Oryzias latipes: one gene and its partners. The protein of the gene in region 1 purifies or fractionates together with the protein of each later gene. This does not show direct contact. Links are inferred from orthologs where the notes say so. Each region holds a gene or a part of one and is shown on either strand. Other genes may lie near its edges.

What was found.
Region 2: the proteins of aifm1 (region 1) and otud1 purify together in Homo sapiens (affinity purification with mass spectrometry; 3 studies listed by BioGRID, with this or other methods). This does not show direct contact. The link is inferred for Oryzias latipes from reciprocal best matches to the Homo sapiens genes AIFM1 and OTUD1.
Region 3: the proteins of aifm1 (region 1) and txn purify together in Homo sapiens (affinity purification with mass spectrometry; 3 studies listed by BioGRID and IntAct, with this or other methods). This does not show direct contact. The link is inferred for Oryzias latipes from reciprocal best matches to the Homo sapiens genes AIFM1 and TXN.

The regions. Positions count from the first base shown.
Region 1 is NC_019872.2:16,888,691-16,895,056, reverse strand, and holds the start of aifm1 (apoptosis-inducing factor 1, mitochondrial), read right to left. Parts: upstream 4,106-6,366; 5' UTR 3,900-4,105; coding exon 3,812-3,899; intron 2,264-3,811; coding exon 2,133-2,263; intron 1,913-2,132; coding exon 1,792-1,912; intron 1,365-1,791; coding exon 1,254-1,364; intron 114-1,253; coding exon 42-113; intron 1-41. UniProt on the Homo sapiens protein: Functions both as NADH oxidoreductase and as regulator of apoptosis.
Region 2 is NC_019878.2:19,215,226-19,221,578, reverse strand, and holds otud1 (OTU domain-containing protein 1), read left to right. Parts: upstream 1-1,215; 5' UTR 1,216-1,506; coding exon 1,507-2,781; 3' UTR 2,782-3,932; downstream 3,933-6,353. UniProt on the Homo sapiens protein: Deubiquitinating enzyme that specifically hydrolyzes 'Lys-63'-linked polyubiquitin to monoubiquitin.
Region 3 is NC_019876.2:18,249,018-18,255,617, reverse strand, and holds txn (thioredoxin), read left to right. Parts: upstream 1-2,491; 5' UTR 2,492-2,688; coding exon 2,689-2,712; intron 2,713-3,910; coding exon 3,911-4,015; intron 4,016-4,685; coding exon 4,686-4,751; intron 4,752-4,953; coding exon 4,954-5,019; intron 5,020-5,570; coding exon 5,571-5,633; 3' UTR 5,634-5,934; downstream 5,935-6,600. Other genes in the region: svep1 (sushi, von Willebrand factor type A, EGF and pentraxin domain-containing protein 1), read right to left, coding at 6,225-6,255. UniProt on the Homo sapiens protein: Participates in various redox reactions through the reversible oxidation of its active center dithiol to a disulfide and catalyzes dithiol-disulfide exchange reactions.

The DNA of each region.
Region 1 (6,366 bases):
GGAGCGCGACAGTGCTGTAATCTTTCTTTCTCAGGTCTTACCCTCCTGAACAACAGGCACAGCAGCTGCTGCCGCCGCCTCTTCTGGTGACCCTTCTACCACGGGCTCATCTGCTGTCGAAGCAATCCATGTTAAGAAATCAAGTTGACAACCAATTTTTCTGGTGTTAGAGACGACAAACCCCAGGATACATGCTTTATCCTCAGATAAAGCTGCAAATGTAAAACACTAAAACAAAACTCACAGCGTGCAGATTTTAAAGTTAGGTTCTCTAAATAGACACTTTCACACACAGTTAAAGACAATACAAGTCCCATGCCAACACTGATACACAAAAAAAAACCCAACATACATTAAACTAGTAGCCACAAATTCAACAATTTGACCAACTAAAAAACAGACAAATATATACAAAATGCCAAGGGCTGCAGTAAAACAATGATGGGTTAGTTTACAATGTTAAACAGAAAACCAACTCCAAAGGTCATGCGAGGTCAGAGTGTGTGCAGTAACCTACAAAAAATGTTGTTATGGGAAGATCAGAAAGCCTCATTAAAAACTGTTATTTTGTAGGGACAAACCTTTACCAGGGGTGCTGCTGCTTACAAGCCCCACATTGTCTTGTTGGTGAAAAAAAATATGTGTGGGGTTGTGAGCATTAAAAATCCACTCTGATAAAAATAGTGTTTTGGGTGTTTTTAATATGTTCTTGTGACATTTTTCTGATAATGGAGGACATATGTAAAGAAAATTAAGCTCAATCGGGAATCGGTGAATCGGGAACAGACGAAAAATCCAGATCCATGTGTGTCTTTGTTTTCCTCGTCTGAACTGGCATCTGGCTCAAGACGAGACGGCTGGATATCTCAGATATTACTCACCATTTTTGTTGTGCCTGTAATGTTAGGTTGGGGTTGTGAGGGGCTGTAAGCTAGTGGGAGAGCGTATAAACGGATGGGTGACGGAAGTGGGAGTGGGCTTGCTCTGCGCCAACTCGGAGGCAAATATTTAATGAGCTCAGCAGAAACTATGTCCTAGAAAACGACTGATTTTTACATGTTGGCTACAAAGGCATATTCATAGTTAAAAGAACATTGAAAATGCTTTTAAAACAGCTCAAAAGATGATCAGAGTGGGACTTTAATGCTCAGCATGTAGTGTATCTTTGAACTGGTAATACCAATAAGGGATAAGGGGTACACAGGAGTTCTGGCTGCGCATGCATGAGTTAGAATATACAGTCTGCAGACTACCTGGGGGGGTGGTCGTTTCAGGAGCCGTCTCCTCTTTGGGGGCTTCAACCTCTGCAGGTGAGCTTGGCTCTTCTATTGAAGGTGCTGCTGCAGGCTGGTCCTCAGGAACAGCTGACAAAAAAGAAAACAGAAAAGACATTTTGCCTCAAAAATCTTTAAAATCCAGTAAGGCCTTAGATATGTGCTGGAGTGATAATTTCCACTGGTCCACCCCTGATTCCAGTGCAATTGTGAAAGCTGTTTATCTGGATATCTCAAATGTTTATGTTTAGATAAAGAGGAAGCTGTTGTGCAGTCAGCTGATTGCTCCTGCACCACATAACCTTGAACTAAAGCCGTTTCATTAAAAAGAGACATTGAGGATAATGTGAAAGGATGTTTTTCCTTAGCATGGGTGAAACCAACCTTTACTACCAATTATTCCTACAACACACACAAAAAATCATCTTCCCCTCAGTGTCAGGTGAGCGACATATCCAGCACAACATGAGAGCAGACATGATTAGAGGTTAGAGGAGGAAAAGCTAAAACATCTCACCAGGAGGTTCTGACTGGATTTGTGCAGCTGTAGGTATTGTGGACGTTTTCTGTGGCCTGGTGGAAAGTTCTTCTATGCGCTGCTCGTATCGTTTTTGGTCCGACTTCATGGTTACAACTGCCTAAAAAAAAAAGTGCACACAAGAGAGGAAGGAGTCCCACTCTGTACAGTCATCTCTTTACGACTGCAGCTCATTCTAACGTCTCGAGGAGAACATCGGAGAGTCTGAAAACATTCCACAAATTATGGATGGCATAAAGACGCTCTTATTTCAGATCAGAATAGTATATTTTTTAAAACACAATTACTAAAACCTCTTGATGATAGTCTGGTTCACTCACATAAACGAGGCCTCCAACGCTGACTGCGCCAACCAGGAGAGCATACTTGAGGTTGTCTCCACCTCCTCCCACAGGCCCACTGGACATGTGGGCTGCAGGAACGCACACTGGTGTTCGGCCATTGTTCAAACCTAAACGACACATCAGAACTTTTCATTTGAAGCTAGGATAATAAACCCACTCTAAGTGTAGCCGCTCTTGCTGTTAATGTTTTTATTCTTTCCAAACCAAATTTGGAAACAGTTTTCTATGCTAATATAGATGTTGAAGTGTGCAATAAATGACATATTATGCAGAATATACAATTAGATTTAGATACCTGCTCCCTAAACCATAACAAAGTTGATGAAATGTGAGAGAAGCTGTTTGAAATTGAAAAATCTATTTATTACAAAAAAACAGGTCGTCAAATTCAGATGAAAAGCAGAATGTGAAAAGGTTTTGAAGGACTAAAGTGATGACAAATAAAAAGGAAGTTACTTCAGATGCTTTCACAATGGAAATGAAATAACTGGTTATAAAAAATGAAATGAAAATCATCCCTGAATAGAACACAACACCTCTGCACTAACCATGCAGTTCTTCAAAAACAAGCCTTGATCATTCTTAAAAATGAAGAAAGAAATCCTACACACTCTGAAAACGGTGTTTATGGCTTATTTAGTTTCCTAAAGGGGGATACAAACATTTAGTTTTACAGCCTCGTTCTGTACAAAACCCCACTTGACCCTGATGGGCATCTGAAATAAAGTAGAAGTCAGGTCTTAATTTATTTTAAAACAAAACCAAAACACAAAAATAATAACAACAAATGGATGCCTAAATTTTAAATTCCCCAGTATAGTTATTTTATATTGTAATTTGTACAGGCAGTTAGATAGACACCTTGAAGGGACCTTTTTTTATGAGAACTTTATTGACAAATTTGCACATACAGGACATCATACAATACATGACACCCCATATCTCATGCAGAGTTGTTTGAGCAAAACAACAACAGACCGTTAACCAGGACAATAAATAAATAAATAAATAAAATGTCCAAAGTTTTAAAATAAGACTATGCTTCAACCGTTAGACCTTTAGAAATAAATCTAAAATAATCAAACTGGTGGGATGAAGTCAGTTTAGGTGTTAATTTATTTCTCCATTTTAAGTATAGAAGTAAAAAAAAACAGTCAAATTAAAATGTACAACAAATTTGAGTGTTTAACATTGAATTGATCACACGTTTGATGGAGAAGATAGAGACTTCTGTTTGACATGACTATAGAACATGCATTTTAGAGCCAGAACAACTCTTCCTCCCTACTTCAATGAGACAATCTGGCGAACTATTACAAAAAAAATTAAAATAAAAAATCTGCAACACCTGTCAGGTGCAAAGAAGTTCACACAGAGAATGTCAAAACAGAGCATGCGCACAACCTGTCTTCTTCTAAGTCCAGCAAAAAATGTGCTGCAAGTGTGCAGGTTAGCCGAATGTCTCTGAGCAACGTCAACATTCAATGATTAGCTCGTTAGCTTGTTAATGAACAAAGGTCGGGGAAGTTCAACTGATTCCAAACTACTTTATGTTTTACCTGCAGACCCAAACCTAATATCCAACCCATAATAAAGATCGTTTACGAGTCCCAGCTAACTACTGAACAATACTGAACCTCGTTAACTTCACTGACCTGCTCTTCTCACGTTCTGCCGGCACAGTGTGGACGAGGATTTAGCCAGAGGTGCGAGCTTTCTCCATACTGTCCTACATTTCAGCATCGTGGCTCCGCTCTCCTGTTCCTGATCCCACTTCACGAGCCGGGCAGTCTGTCAGAAAGCCACTAACGGTTAATCCCACAGCCGGCGAGCGCGGACAACTAGCAGCTCTGCACTGCACACCAAGGCCAGAGACAGGTCAAACGTTTCAGAGGGGTGCTGGGTAATTGAAAAGACTATTTCAGAGTGAAGATAGACCGCGGCTGCGGGAAAGTTAAATGCGAAAAAATATTAAGTCGCCCTTAATAAAAGTGTGATTTGTTAAGCTCTTCTTACTGCGTGGTGCTCTTCCTATAATCGGTTTGTCATAATAGATTATGTTTCCCAAAGCTGGCGTTAGAAGCCTAACTTATAACATTTATTCAGCACAGAATAAAACCTGTCTTCCAATGATGTTATGAAACCTGTATCATCTCGCTTTGTAGACGCTCTCTGGAAACTCAGCTCTTCTTCTTTACATGAAAGCAACTATAAGGAAGCGTTGAAGCGACACTGAAAGTGATGCTGCCATCTACTGATTCATAACAGCAATTGCAGCCACGAGCGTCGTAACAGACCCGGGATACGTATAATTTCTTGAATCTATCCCTTTTACATATACTTTTTTATTTTCAATCAAACAAAGAATCATCATTAATCATCTTAAGTTTGATATCTGTATGTATAGATGTATATCTATATCATTTGTCTTCATTTTTTCCTTGTTTTTTAATTTCTTGAAATAAATCGGTTTCAATCCAATAGTTAAAATGAACGAGAGGACTGATAGTTCAGTTGTTATAGAGAAATACAACAAATATCAATTAATGTAAATCATTTAATACATAAAATTAATCAATATAAAAGTACATAATATTGTAAAGATAAATAAACATAAAAATATATAAATTGTCCGTTGTTCCTGGGTATTTCATAAATACATTATATGATTTTTTTACACAATAATTAAGTAATTCATCTTTGCTATGTGATTTATTGATACCTAAGGATTCTTAATTCTGTCTGATAAAAGTTAGGAACCGGATAATGATAAATCATGTAATGAAATGGTGACGGTAGAACAGGGGTGGGATTATATACATTCGCTTCCTTCCACTTCCTTTCAAGCAAGATTTAATTTTATGTCTAATTATCCTAAGTTTGATACGTCATTGTATAAATGTATATCTGATGATTGTAATGTTTTTTGTGTATTACTATTTGATTGCTTGAAATAAATCATTTCAAATTAAATTATAATCAAATACAAAAATGTTGCGATACATTGTCTTATCTAGACAATTAATATATTTATATTTATTCCCAATTAATATGACAAGATGCAGAAAAAAACATGTTCAAAATGGATTCAAAATGTGTTTTTTAATCTCAGTAGAATATTTTGTGTTGTTGTTTAATGTACTTTTGTTCTTTCTTGTTTTGTTCTTTTCTTCTTAAATAACCTAACTTGTATTATTGATTCTATCTCTGTTTGTAAAAGGTGTTTGCTTGTTAGGAGGCACCTGTTTTAAAAAAACATAAAGGGGAGAATTGTGGAGAACTCCTTCATCAGGATAAGACAATCATTTTATATGCTAATTAAGAGGTTCTTTTTCAATAAGCACAAAAATATATTATCAGCACGAATTTATAAAAAATGTTCATTATAATACCAGTGAATGGTGGTGCTGTTGGAACATCCATGACGTTTACGAGAAATGTCATAGACGTGGGAATTATTTTGTATTCTAGCTAAATGAAAATGTTGCTGCACAAATGAGAACAGGGCATAAAAAGATGAAGCAGATTTTCTTTGGCTGTCAATAAAAAATGCAAAAGTTGCCAAAGAGAATGACACATTTTAATCAAAAATGTGGAGATTTCCTCACAAATTAATAAAAATTGTGATAGAAAAGTAGGTTTGGTTAAAAAACTAAAAACAGCAGAGTATTTTTTCTGAGCTTGCATTCAGCAATATTTACTTCTGCAAATATGATTTGCAACACAAACTGTTTACATGTTGAGGACAATGAGTTTCTTTTTTTTACATCGTATTATAATTTTCTGCTTTTTTTTTCATTCTCACAATAAAATTGATGCAATAGTAAACAGTATCCAAAATGAGTCTTTTTAAGGTCACAACATCATTATAGCTGCTAAACATTGTTATAAGTGAGAATGGAGGGAAAATTTACTAAATACACTAATCCTATTAAGGTTGGAAAAATGGTAAAAACAGTGAATGGTGCTACTTATAAAATACTTTTCTACCTTTCTTAAAGGCCCAAAGTGCTTTACAGTCTCACACACAAACATTAACTCACCTCCAAAAACAGGCACCAACCTTCAAACCACCAGGAACAATGTGGGGTTCAGCGTCTTGCCCAAGGACACTCCGACACTTGGCAGGAGCTGAACGTGCAGTCACCTGATCAGATGTCACCTGACCTCTGCACCAGTCGAGAGACTCATTTGGGATCATTTGACCTGT
Region 2 (6,353 bases), on another chromosome or scaffold:
TTTTTTCCCTCAATGACAACAGATATTGTTGAATAATTTAATTAATTTCTCCATGTTGTGTAACCAATGTTTCCAGAATGTTCTTCCTGAAAAGATTGGATTACTTTTCAGCTGTGGGTTTAACTGACGCCAGTCGGATGTCTATTCCAAGCACGCAGATTGAGTTCCACAATCCACAAGCTCTGACAGTGTAAGTGTTTAAAAAAAGCTTCAGGAGCATATCTAAGCATTGACATGTCTGCCAATAATGTCCAATGGACATATTCACATGCACCAAATACTTTCAGCTCACAAACAAATTATGCTTTTACATGGTATTTTAAGGTTTGTTTGGATAAAAATTGACATTTTTATTGATATAAGAAAAAATACTTTTATTTTGCTTCTTTTAATGTATCAAAAGGTTGTGTTTTTCCATTCATAAGGCATCAATAATAAAAATTCATGAATTAAAATAAAAACAAATGACAAAAAAAATGTAAAACTTGTCTCAAAAAAGATAGATACAAAAAGACAGATACAAACAAGGCTTTTTAATTTAAAAATAGTTTTCTTTTTTTCTGTAACCCATTTTCAAATTAACTTGAGGTTCTGCGGGATTACAATTTTCCCTTATTAATGTTTTATTTAAAATGTTAAAAATAGATTTTTATTTTGTCATATAAAACTTTGCAAACCTATAAAACACCATTATTGTGAATTTTAGCTATAGATTTTTAATCATGAAAATGATTTTTGATGTTAAGTGTTAGGTAGCCAAATATACCATAACTTTGGGTTTAATTGAAAACGTTATAAGTACTAGGTTAGTAGTTAAGTTGGAATGTTAGAATCTGAAGGTTAAAAAATATACGAACTTAACTTTTTTCAAGTCTTTAGTTATTTATTTTTCTCCACTTACACAGTTAATAACATTTTCAACAACACGAGTTAGTCTGGACAATATAGGATGGTTAAGAAATGATTTTTTTTTTATTCCCGAAAACTCTTGTAACATTTTTATAATTTCTTTAACTTAAGATTTGTTTAAAATCATTCACAAAAATAGCATGAAATTAATAACAGCTATAAAAACAATCTACATAATATATTACAAAAATAATAATAAAAGTAAATGCAAATTAATAATTTGTGATTATAATCTGAGACAAATAAAATTAAAACATCCAAAAAACATTAAACGACGATGAGGGGTTTTATTTTGAAGTTTCCCAAACGGAACTGGTATTTTGTCCTCCGGGATTTGACGGGCTTTTACACTGAAGGGGTTTGGTTACAAACAGTGAAGCCTAAAATTAGGGAGGCACCCCAACAGCAGATGACGCCACACAGCTAAAGTGGACCTTGTCGTCGTCGTTGCGTGTCCCCGATAACAGGACTCGGGGCCATGGAAACGTTCCCCGCGAGTTTCCCGCTGTTGATGACTCCGGGGGTATTTTTAGCGCTCGTTGTCATCTTTTCGTAACTGCCCCGGCGGCGGTGTTCAGTATAAAGGACCGTTGGAAAATGCAGCTGTACAACAGCGCGCTCACACACTACCCGAAGTCGTCGCGGAAAGTTACAATAACTCTGTCTGCAGCCCCCGAGCGCCTGAACGGGACGCCGCGAACTTCCTCCGAGGTCGACTTTGCCCAACTTGACACAACTTCGTCAACTCACGCCGCTCCGCCCGCGGAGACTTCTGGAAACATGCCCGCCTTTTCGTGCTACGAGGCTGCTTCTACCAGGAGGCCGCTTTACTTCACCTCCACCGCCGAGATATTAATCCGCCGACCCGACGGAGTGCAAAGGCCGGTTCCCATTCACATCATCCGACAGCCCAAACCCCCCTCAGGCCGCCCCCACAAGCCCTGCAGTGACCCCGACCAGGAGACCATGGTGGACTGGACAAACCATCAGACTGAGGAGGCAGGCTGCACAGAACTGCCAGGAGGATCTGCTTTTAAGAGGAAGAAAACCACTCAATCCACAGTGGAATGTAAGGAGGAGGATTCTGGACCTTATAGGAGCAACGGATGGGCGTCATTCCATGAAGAGGAACTGGCCCCCTCAATGGTTGCCATGACGAAGAACTTCAGAACAGAGGATCTATTTGACATGAACAGTATGGAAAGTACACCACCATCAGGGCAGAACCAGACTCTGAAGCTCAGTGTCCTGCAGGAGTCGCCTCCGCAGGGGTCCCAGCAGAGAGACCACAAAGTCAGCCGGTACCTGGCTGAGGTGGAGAAGCAGAACAAGTACCTCCAGGAGAGGAACCAATACAGGTACCACATCATTCCAGATGGCAACTGCCTGTACAGAGCTGTGTGCAAAGCCACGTACGGGGACCAGACCAGGCACGGCGAGCTGCGGGAGCAGACGGTGCACCACATCGCCGACCACCTGGACGAGTTCAACCCCATCATCGAAGGCGACGTGGGAGAGTTCCTGATCAATGCGGCGCAGGACGGAGCCTGGGCCGGCTACCCGGAGCTCCTCGCCATGAGCCAGATGCTGAACGTCAACATCCACCTCACGACGGGCGGCAGCTCAGAGAGTCCCACCGTCTCCACCATGGTGCACTACCTCGGCGAGGAGGACGCCTCCAAACCAGCCATCTGGTTAAGCTGGCTCAGCAACGGCCACTACGATGTGGTCCTGGGCCGATGTCTTCCCAACCCAGAGTACGAAGACTGGTGCCGGCGCTCACAGATGCAGCGGAAACGAGACGAGGAGCTGGCAAAGTCCATGGCGGCCTCACTATCGAAGATGTACATAGAGCAGAATGGCTGCGTGTGAGGCCACAGTCTGTTCCTGATGGATGCTGTGGACTCTGCTTGGTTGCTTTAAATTATTATTCTTTTGTAAGTTTTCTAAGTTTGTCAGAAAAAAAGTGCAGTGCACATCGCAGACCATCTTTATTAGCACTTGTCAACTATTTTTCCATTTCTTTGTGTTTGTCTTTTTCCAAGTGGCACATAGCTGTATTATAGCTGCTCTCTTTTGCACAAAAGTCCTGTCAGACTCGTTTGGGAGAGTTGTATTTTGTGCTGCTTTCTTGTCATTTATTCCAAATGTTTGGATTGTTTTCTTTTTATTTTAAATGAAGTTTGTTGGGGAAAAAAACATGTTTTTATTTTATAAGATTGTTTTAACAGTTTTATTTGATTGTTTCCATAAAACTGTCATTCAGCATCGATGATCATGTCTTTTTAGTCGCACAACACTAATCTTATACAAACCCTCCCTTTAAAGTGCAGCATGGTGGGAAGAGATAAGAGATGCACGCTGCACTCTGATGCTTTGAAAGGTTAAAAGTTATGTTCTAGCTTGATTAGCTGGTGTCTTTTCTCAACTTGTGTAACATAGTTTCTTCAGAGCGGCAGGAGTTCAATAGAAATCTGCCTCTGAGTTGTGTGGCAGCATTTCCCATCATCCCTTTGTTTACACGCTCTCACAATAGCTTACAGTCCCAACCTATTATTTACCGATGCAACAAAAATGGCGAGCAATACTGGAGCTATCCGGCCTTACAGTTTGAGCCATATGCCTGCTCAGATGAAGAAAATGAAGACATACGTGGATCTCCTAATCTGCAAGTGAATCCATCAGATTGGACAACATATTTTCTACATCACAAACACGCTCTCTTTATAACAGAATTCTTTGTGTGTTCCTGATTTACAACAATAAAGAATAAAATTTATTCTAAAGAATAAAGAAATACTCAGAAATACCCATTTTAACTAAGTTTTTCTTTACAAATGTGCTCCCATCATCAAAAAAGGGCAAAAGAACATGTTAAAAAAACTGTTTTAATCAGAGTAGGTCTTTAAAATGGGAAAAAAAGTTTTAAAGACAAAATTTTCTGCAGAGTATTCAGTTACACTGTCACCCTGTTTATCCATGTTTTCCTAGATTCTTTGTTGCATTAAAGTAATGTACCATTCATTCAAAATGTGTTTTGTTTCCCTGTGGCAGATGACAACCTCACCGTGTTCCCATTCCATCCACTAGATGGCAGTGTAGGCTCCTCACATCTCACCACACAGATGTTTTTTATTTGATACAAATTAGGACGGAAATTAAAGGACTTCAAACTATAGGGATTAGAAAAATGCTAGACATCGTTACTTGGCGTTGAAAGAAGCCAAATAGATGATAAACACTTTTTCCTCTTGCAAAAATACTGAAACTAATCAAATGTGCAGCTCAAAGAACTAAATAAAGGACAACACGCGCACAAAAGATTACCAGTCTAAAAATAAAAAGAACCTCAATACAAATACAATTTAGTTTAAGAAAAAAAAACAGAGAACTAACTAAATGCAACCAACATGTTAAACCAAAAATAATTAAAGAGTTTGAGAACATTTTACAGGTAAAACAATATGTAATAAAACAATAAAAGTGCGCCAAAAGGCACGTGCAAGTGAACCAAGTGCCAATAGAACGGTATAAATAAATAAATACAATCATAAAAGATACGTTTTCTCTTCATCTCTGAACAGCGATGACGTCACTCTGCGGGCACTAATGCGGGGCAGAAAAGTTTTCATGTTTGTTGATGCGGGAAAGGAATAGTGGACGCCCCCTCTTCCCCAGCTCGATTCAGACCCGTTCAGAGCAGGGAGAAGAAGGCGTGCAGGTACAGCGGACCGTCACCGAGCGCACAGCTGGCACGCGCATCGGCGCGCGCGGACAGCCTTTCTTTATAAAAATATAAATCCACGGGTGCGCGCCGTTACGCATCTGAGCGGGGATCCCACGCGCAAAACGCAGCGGCACCTGAACGCATCCTCAAAAAGTTCTCGCATACTTGAAGAGGCTTTGACCTGCGGGGGGAAGAGCGGACATGTCGGGGCACCGGGTGCAGTTTGCGGACCTTCCTCCGACTGAGCACAAAGGGAGTCCAAAATTTCACAGTAAGAGATCATTTCTTTGGCTGCTTAATTTGGTTCAGATGATGAACTCTACGCGGATGAATAAGGGAAAATTCTCCCTTCTCAGGCCAGGGAAGGGAAACTTTTAAGAGCTTTATTTAGACTACAAGTCATTTTTAAACTCTACTTTAGCCTTAATTTGAAAAAAACGCAATTGATGCGTAATTTTAAAACTAGAGTTGAATTTTTATCTTATTTTCTGTCTAAAATGTTAGAAATAATACAGAATATTTTTCCCCATTACATGGCTCCTCTTAGCAGAGTATTTTTCTTTCTATGCGTGACTGTGCTGAGTCTCACCTCTGATCTCCTCCACTTGGAGATCAGTGCTGTGATGCCATTTGCCCCACTGTTATTATCTGAAGTGGCAGTTGCCCTTTTCACACTGCTGCTAACTTTCTTTTCTTTTGGCTCCTTAAGTGAGAGAAGCAGCTTCCTTTGAGCTCACCTTAAAGGGACTTTTTCCATTTCCTGCTTCTGTGTTTTTGGATCAATAAAATACAAAGATAAAGCATGTGGTTGTGTTGGCCCTGGAGGTGTGATCGTATCCGACTGGGCTGCTGTGTCTTCATTACAGCTCAAGAAAAATCCAAACTTATCTCCATGATGACAGGTTCGATTGGCAGAGCATGTAAATGAGGGCATGGTGGATAATTGCTAATTTGCTGCAAAGCCCTTTGGAAGCCCATCTTTACCTCCCTCCGGCTTCATGAAGTTCGTGGCTGAAGCCTTTCTGTTCGGTTGCAGGTTTTTTTTTTTGTGTGTGCAGTTTGGACAGTAACATGTGTGCAGACTGCAGGGGCAGAAGTGCTGATGGCAGTTGGAGCTCAGATTGTATGCAGGGAGTGTGGGGATGATGTGTAGAAGGGCACAACAGCAGCTTCAGCAGCAGCGAGCCACACATTCTGACTCAGCTAATCTGTTTTTCCTGCTGCATAGAAGCAAGCGACAGGGGTCAAGTTTCAGTCTTTTCCCTCTCGATCTTTGTGATGCACAAACCTGAGCAACATACTATTGCATTGTAGACTTGGAAGATGTTGCCAAAAAACACATTTTTTTCACTTGTTGTGAAATTGCAGATAAAAAAGCACCTCTGGCATGAAAGTAGGGCTGGGGTCTAACCACACTTCCTTCATTTACGCTGTGGCTGATAGTGATCTTTGTGCCACACTAAGGCAAGTCTGCAATGAGTAAGCTTGCCAAATCTTTGATTAAATCTGTACATTGATTAAAAATGTACGTTTAAGATTTACCCAAGATTGCAATTGAAGGCCAACATAATCTGTCCAACCTTGTTTGAACGGGCTAGGATTGTTTTTTGTATTTTATCGTTTTAAGCGAACCAAAAGGTTTAAAAAACAACCTTACCTGGCGCCAAACCCTGACGGGAATAATTTAAAAATTGTAAAGCAAAAACTAGCTACATTT
Region 3 (6,600 bases), on another chromosome or scaffold:
ATATATTACAGAAATGTGAACAAAATGTTGTTTCTAAATTCAGAACCAAATTCATGAAACTTCCTATTCTCCCAAAAGTTAAAGAAACACACTTCAAAATTATGAATAATATTCATCCCTCCAAAGAATTACTTAGATTACGTTTCAACATTGATGACAACAGCTGTTCCTTCTGCCAAACTGCTGTTGAAGACACCGACCACATATTTTTCCTGTGTAGCATTGTACACATTTTTTGGTTAGATGTTTACAAATAGTTGAAAAATAAATTCCCATTCATTGTGAACCTTTTTTTAAAAAGAAGTCATAATTTTCGGCATATCACTACACAAAAATGTATTTATTTATGTATCAATACCATTTTATGAATAGTCAAGTTTTTTATACACAAAAACAATTACAGAAATGTCACCCCAACATTACCTTCTTTAATGCAGAAGTCAATTTATACTTAAAACCCCTAAGATTAATCAATTTACCAAAAGCATAACAGTTTATGATATTCTGAGCGATACTATCTGAGACGGTTTATTTAGTCATTGTTGTACCAACCAGCATTTGGTGTCACTATTAAACTCTGAAATTGTTGTTTTCTTGTGTCTTGTGTATTTGCACGTATATGTATGCATATTGATAAGTACTCTATTTTATTTTGTTTGTGCTTCCTTTTCAATTGCTATATTCTTTCTACTAGTATCCACCATATTTTGGGATGTTTTTGGTTTGTGTTCGATAAAGTTCTTTAAAAAAAAAAAAAAAAACTCTGATTCAGCATTTTATGTACTCTTCCTGTTTCAGAAATGTTATAAACTGTGTACTTATTTTGCAATAACCTTCGATCCCACTAGAGAGCCCTATTGCATTGCAGATGAGCCAGAGACTGTACTTCTTCTGACTATTGTATTTGTGTTTTGTTAGGGCTGTACCAACTGAAGATGGTGGACACACAAGCATCCTGAAAGCCTCAAGAGGCTGATGGCGTGGTTCAAACAGGTAATGTGGAGCATCAATCAGGAATGAAAAGATTTCTGTGTCACTGCTATTAATTGTATACACACATGACGCCTCTGCAGGGAAAACTGCAATGTCGGGAGCACGTCACCAAAGGCTTTGAAAACATGCCAGCTGCTTTTAAGGGGATGCTGAAAGGAGACAACACTGGCAAAGCCGTTGTTGCTGTCTGATGGATGACCAATAAAGGTCTTTACACAATTAATGAAGGAGGATTTTACATATACTGCACTGAAAAATAACTACAAGATATGTATTGTCTTTTCAGTGTTTAGTGAATTAATTTTATTTTTAAAATACATATGTGTGAGATATGTCTGTATTTCTCAATAGAATGTAGTTTTATTTAAATTGTTTAGTATTTTTCTCTTTTTTTCCCGGACAAACGTAAATAAAAAGATTGTTTTCTTACAGCTGTGACACGGCTTCTACCTGAACGGGGAAAAAAATCCAAAAGTGACATTTGCTTGTTTTACAGCGACATAGATAAAACTGTAACCAGATATTGTTGTTTATTCTATAATAAAGGTTGTTTTTGGTCTTTATTGATGTATGCTGGTATTGCATGCATTGCCTAACTGATTTGAACTTGCATCATATTTTAAAGAATGGAATTATGCAAAGATACTTTTAAAAAATGTTTTAAGGTCTAAATTAGGCAATTCTTAGGCTTCAAATGAAGTTTCCTTATTTTTACGATAGAACCTGTTGGAACATTCACATATGTAGTCTAAATACTCAAATTCTTTATTCAAATATGTAAATGGAAAAACAAGTCTTTGTGTACCATCTTTTAGAATTAATCTTCTGATTAAATCACTTCCCTAAACTTATTCCAACCATGATCAAACTGCAATAATTTGTCTAAATATTGCAATTTTTTGTTATAGTATGGACTTTTCTGTTTATTGTTTACCCCTTACTTTAGTTGTAAAAGAATAAACAAATAAAGTCTTTTTAAGCTATTACGTAATAAGACTAGTGCAGGGGTGTGGCCTCATGGGCGTTGACCAGAGTTTGTACAAGGAAATATGGTCTGCAGTGACCATGTTTACGGTAGTACAGAAATTTGCCAAGTCATTGTGATTCGACTGTCTGATCAAGCGTTGACGGAATTAAAAACAAAAAAAGTATTTCAACTTACTATCGATATAATTCTCTAAAAGGACGCGTTATTGTTAGTAGATTAGTTTTGCAAGTTATTTTAAGCCGCAACGAAACAACAACGAAGCACTAACGGGCCTCAGATATATATAGCCTGACATCACCGATTCTGTAGTTTTTATTCTCAGTAAAGAGCTAAAATATTTGCAAGAATCCAGGAAAGGAAACCATTCTGTTTATAACTTTCAAAATAAAAGTATTTTTCGTGAAGCTTTACCAGTAATAACACAACTGCTGATACAACATGAAATCAAGTACGGTTACAACACATTTCATGCACAATCATAGTGGCAATGACGTATACACACGGCGTTCTTTTAATATAAATGATTCGCTTAAACATAAAAGACTGGCTTTTATTTTGTTAGTCAACCCATCAGCTCTTCCGCTGCGACGTGTTAGTCTGACGCCGTTATAAATAGGGCAGGTCATCCTCTTTGACTGAAAGTGTGGTCTTTGCGAAGCCGCTGTCTTTTAGATTCAGCGAGAGTTTGCCTTTTCAAAACAGCAAACATGGTCCGTGAAGTGGCTGATCTTGTAAGTAGTTCTATAAATACAATTAATCATGTCTTTATTTATTTCGCTGTACTACTACATACATTCAGGACAGCACAGTTGACGTTAGGTAGCCGCGCGGTTATTTTCTCAGCAAGCTTCTATCTACTTACCTTTTTTGCAAGAAAAAAAAACCCTGTTAAAGCATTTATTCGCTTAGAGTTAGCATGTTTATTGTCGTTGATGGAATAAATTACTCCGACAGAATAACTCTGGAGGCTGTATTGCTAATGTTTAGTTGTTTTTTCTTTTTTTCCATTTTCTACCCATGATGCACGAGGGCGGACTTTGCTATCTTGTTGCCGCGCGAACACGTTGCCAGGGTTACAAGTTTTCGGAAAGGTTTTACCGTTAACTAGATAAAAAATCTTTTAGTAATACACCAAAAAAACGTTCCTATCATGGCTCAGATGAGCAGAAAGCTACAATAAAGTACTAGTTTGAGTAAAAGTCAACTCCTATTTGCGACACTTGGACCATTCCGCTAGGCCTCGGGCCGCCTCTGTCCGTGTGTACACATGCCTGGATGTCAAAACTGCTGAAATCATTCAGACTTCTGGGTGTCACTGGTTGCGTCCGAATTCCTTCACTAATCACTACAAAGTGCACTGTGCGTTCGCCATTTTGTAGTGCTGTCCGATTCTACAATTCCAAAATCGAGTGCCCTGCAAATTTCCCAGAAATCTCCGCAAAAAAACAGTGTGCATCAATGCTCACTAGATCTGTGAATATAGATCACAATGCATGGCATCAAATCTATTTTTGCTTAAAAATGTATTTAAATGTACTTTCTGAACAACCTGTCAAGTGTTTTTATCTTCAGAAGACTGATAAATGATCCTCGCAAAATGCTCCTATCAATTAGATTTTAACTTCGTGAAATCGATGACGTCATATCCGCCGTAAATTAAAAAAAAAAGTAGTGGGCATGGTGTCCAAATTGCTTTTAAGTCGGTGCACTCTATAGTTTTTTTTAGAAGTTGGGGGTTAGGGTGGGAATTCAGATACAGCGACTGCTTTTGATCTGGGGCTGTTCTGCTAATCATTAGCCAAACCTTTGATAACCACTTATCGTTACACTATGGGAAAGCCTGCTGACAAAATGAAGTAATTTATTTAAACGAATTCTTTACCTTTATGCTTATTTAAAATAAATGATGGAAACATGCTTTTTTTGTAGGCAGAATTCAAGAAAATTCTGGAAGACGCTGGAGACAAGCTGGTGGTTGTGGACTTTACTGCATCATGGTGTGGGCCCTGCAAACAGATTGCCCCCTTGTACAAGGTAGATAACTGGAGCTTAAAGACTTGATCCGATGAAAATGTTTTTAACATGTTTTTGTGCCCATTTTCTGATAAAGGAGAACATGTATAAAGAAATTTAAGCTTAAAAATGCATTTCTGAGTACTTCTTTTTCTTATTGTGAATCAGTCACAGGCAAGAAAGGACAGTTTTGACAGAGCTTGTAGTTGTAATGTAGAAGCTACAATCTGCAGGCCACAAGCTCCCTGCTCCACTCCATACTGATGCCTCTACTTGCAGACAAATGGATCCATGTACGTCTTTGTTTTCCTCGTCTGAGCTGTCATCCGGCTCAAAACTGTATGCCTGATAGCTCCGATATTGCTCACCATTTTTGTTTCACCTGTAGTGTTAGGTTGGGGGTTTGATGGGCTTTAAGCTAGTCGGAGAGCTCGGAAGTTACAACCCCTCTCTGTCAACCGTCCCAACCAGCGAATAGAAACAGGGGGACCAATTGAAAACGGTGTTTAAATGTAGATGCATTGTTACTATGGCAACCCTATAAGGTTTACCTCCCCACTTCAAGGAGAGGAAGTGCTTGTTCACAGGAAATGGTCCAACACACACCCAGTATGATTTTTCAGTAAAAGTGCTCTGTTTCTGTAGAGTTGAGTCTAATGTACTGTTGTTGTATGTACTTGTTGTCTTGCAGCAAATGTCGGAAAGCGATGACAACAAGAATGTGGTTTTCCTGAAGGTGGATGTGGACGAGGCTGATGTGAGTGTGCACGTTCTCCTCCTTGGCCAGTACAAACTAGCTTTGTTTTAATGGGCAAAACCAGCTTTTGTTTTTAGTCTCTCTACTTTATGAAAGCGTTAGGTTGCAATTGGGGGCCAGCAACAATAATTACTTAATAATTGTATTTTTATTTTTTTTAATTTTGATTCATAAAAAAAAACTGTTGCTTTTTCTCTTTCAGGATATCAGCAGTTTCTGTGAAATTAAATGCATGCCTACATTCCACTTCTACAAGGGGGGCAAAAAGGTAAGTAACTGAGTGCAGTAGTTGAAAAGTTTATAACTTTTTACAGAGGTTCTGATGACTTCCTTTAAAAAAAGAGACCCTGTGTCACATGGGATCATTAAGAGAGTCTTACTGTATTTTTCAAACCATAAGGTTATCTTAAAATCCTTGTATTTGTAAAATACTATTTATAAATTGAGTGTACTTACTGCCCTCAAATTGATTTCCTTTGGTACATGGGGCCCAAAAATCTGCCAAAATGTTTTAGTTTGACTTGTGATGCGTCCCGTCTGTCAAATGTTGTGGAATGAGTTGAATGAAGTTTAAGTTTACTTTGTCTTTTTTGCTATTTAAAAGGAAAACCTCTTTGTCTTTCTTTAACCAGAGAGCCATGTGTGCCCTGGTTTAAGTGATCCCTGTTTAAGCCCTGTGTAAGCTTGACTTAAACAATTAAACCAGCCTGGAAGCCCTAATGTCCATCCTGCAGTAGCAGAAACGGCTAGTTTTTGTTTGCAAATATTAGATCTCACCTTTTCAACTTCTGTCATTTTTTTATGTTTTTATTTTTCCAGGTGGATGAGTTCTCTGGTGCCAACGTTGCAACCCTGGAGGAAAAGCTGAAAGCACTGAGATAGGAGTAGAAGTCAGACTGACCAGAGCAGAAAATAAAACGCATAACTGATAAAGTCTTCACCTCATAACACACCCAAAGAAAGAATTGCAGCTAAGCGTCATGTTTAACTGCTATCAAGTTTTGTTTTTTTCCCCAATGTTGGCACTAACTTGTCATCTATCCTGAGTTGAACAGTTTGTGTACTGCATTTACTTCAGTCCAGGTTTTATTTTTTTATTTTTTTTTTCTACTCTAACCATTTATGAAGTTTGAGTAATCCATGTTACCTCTGTATGGATTTAATAAATGAATCAAACCCTAAACTGCCCGACTACAAAGAGCTTCTAATAGCATTTAATGCTTTAATAGAAATGTGACAATAGTTTACACATAAACACTGGAACGGTCACATCAATCTTTTTTTACACATCATACAAGTATATATAGCAGCGCATGTTTAATACTGTTAAGTCTTTATATGAAAAAATACAGCTTTAAATTTACAAACTGGTTCTTTTTTTGACTTTGAAGAGAAATGAAAAGTTGGCAAGAGTCCAGAAACTATACAGGAAATCCCTTCATTAGATGATTCACATGGAGGTGACTGGAACCTTTAGAAATGGTAGTAAACAGATTTCCTCTTCCTGCAGGGAAGAAGAAAAAAAAAGGTTTTAGCACAAATAGCTTAACATCTGCGTTCAAGCAGAATTTGAAAAAGTTTGAATAAAAAGTGATTTTTTTTTTTCCTATGGAATAAATGCAAATATTATTTTACTTAATTGTGAATCTTAAGGTGCCACTGAAGGTATTAAAGCACGTTTTTAAAAAAATACTTTCAATGTTTGAACTTTTAAGTACAAAAACGAACTCAGAAAAGGGGTTTTTACATGAAAAGCCCTCAGGACCCTTTAGGTCCTCTGGCACGGGCCTCTAGATTCCCAGAGTTGGAACCAAAACATACGGCGAGTTAGTTTTTATGGACCTCGCCT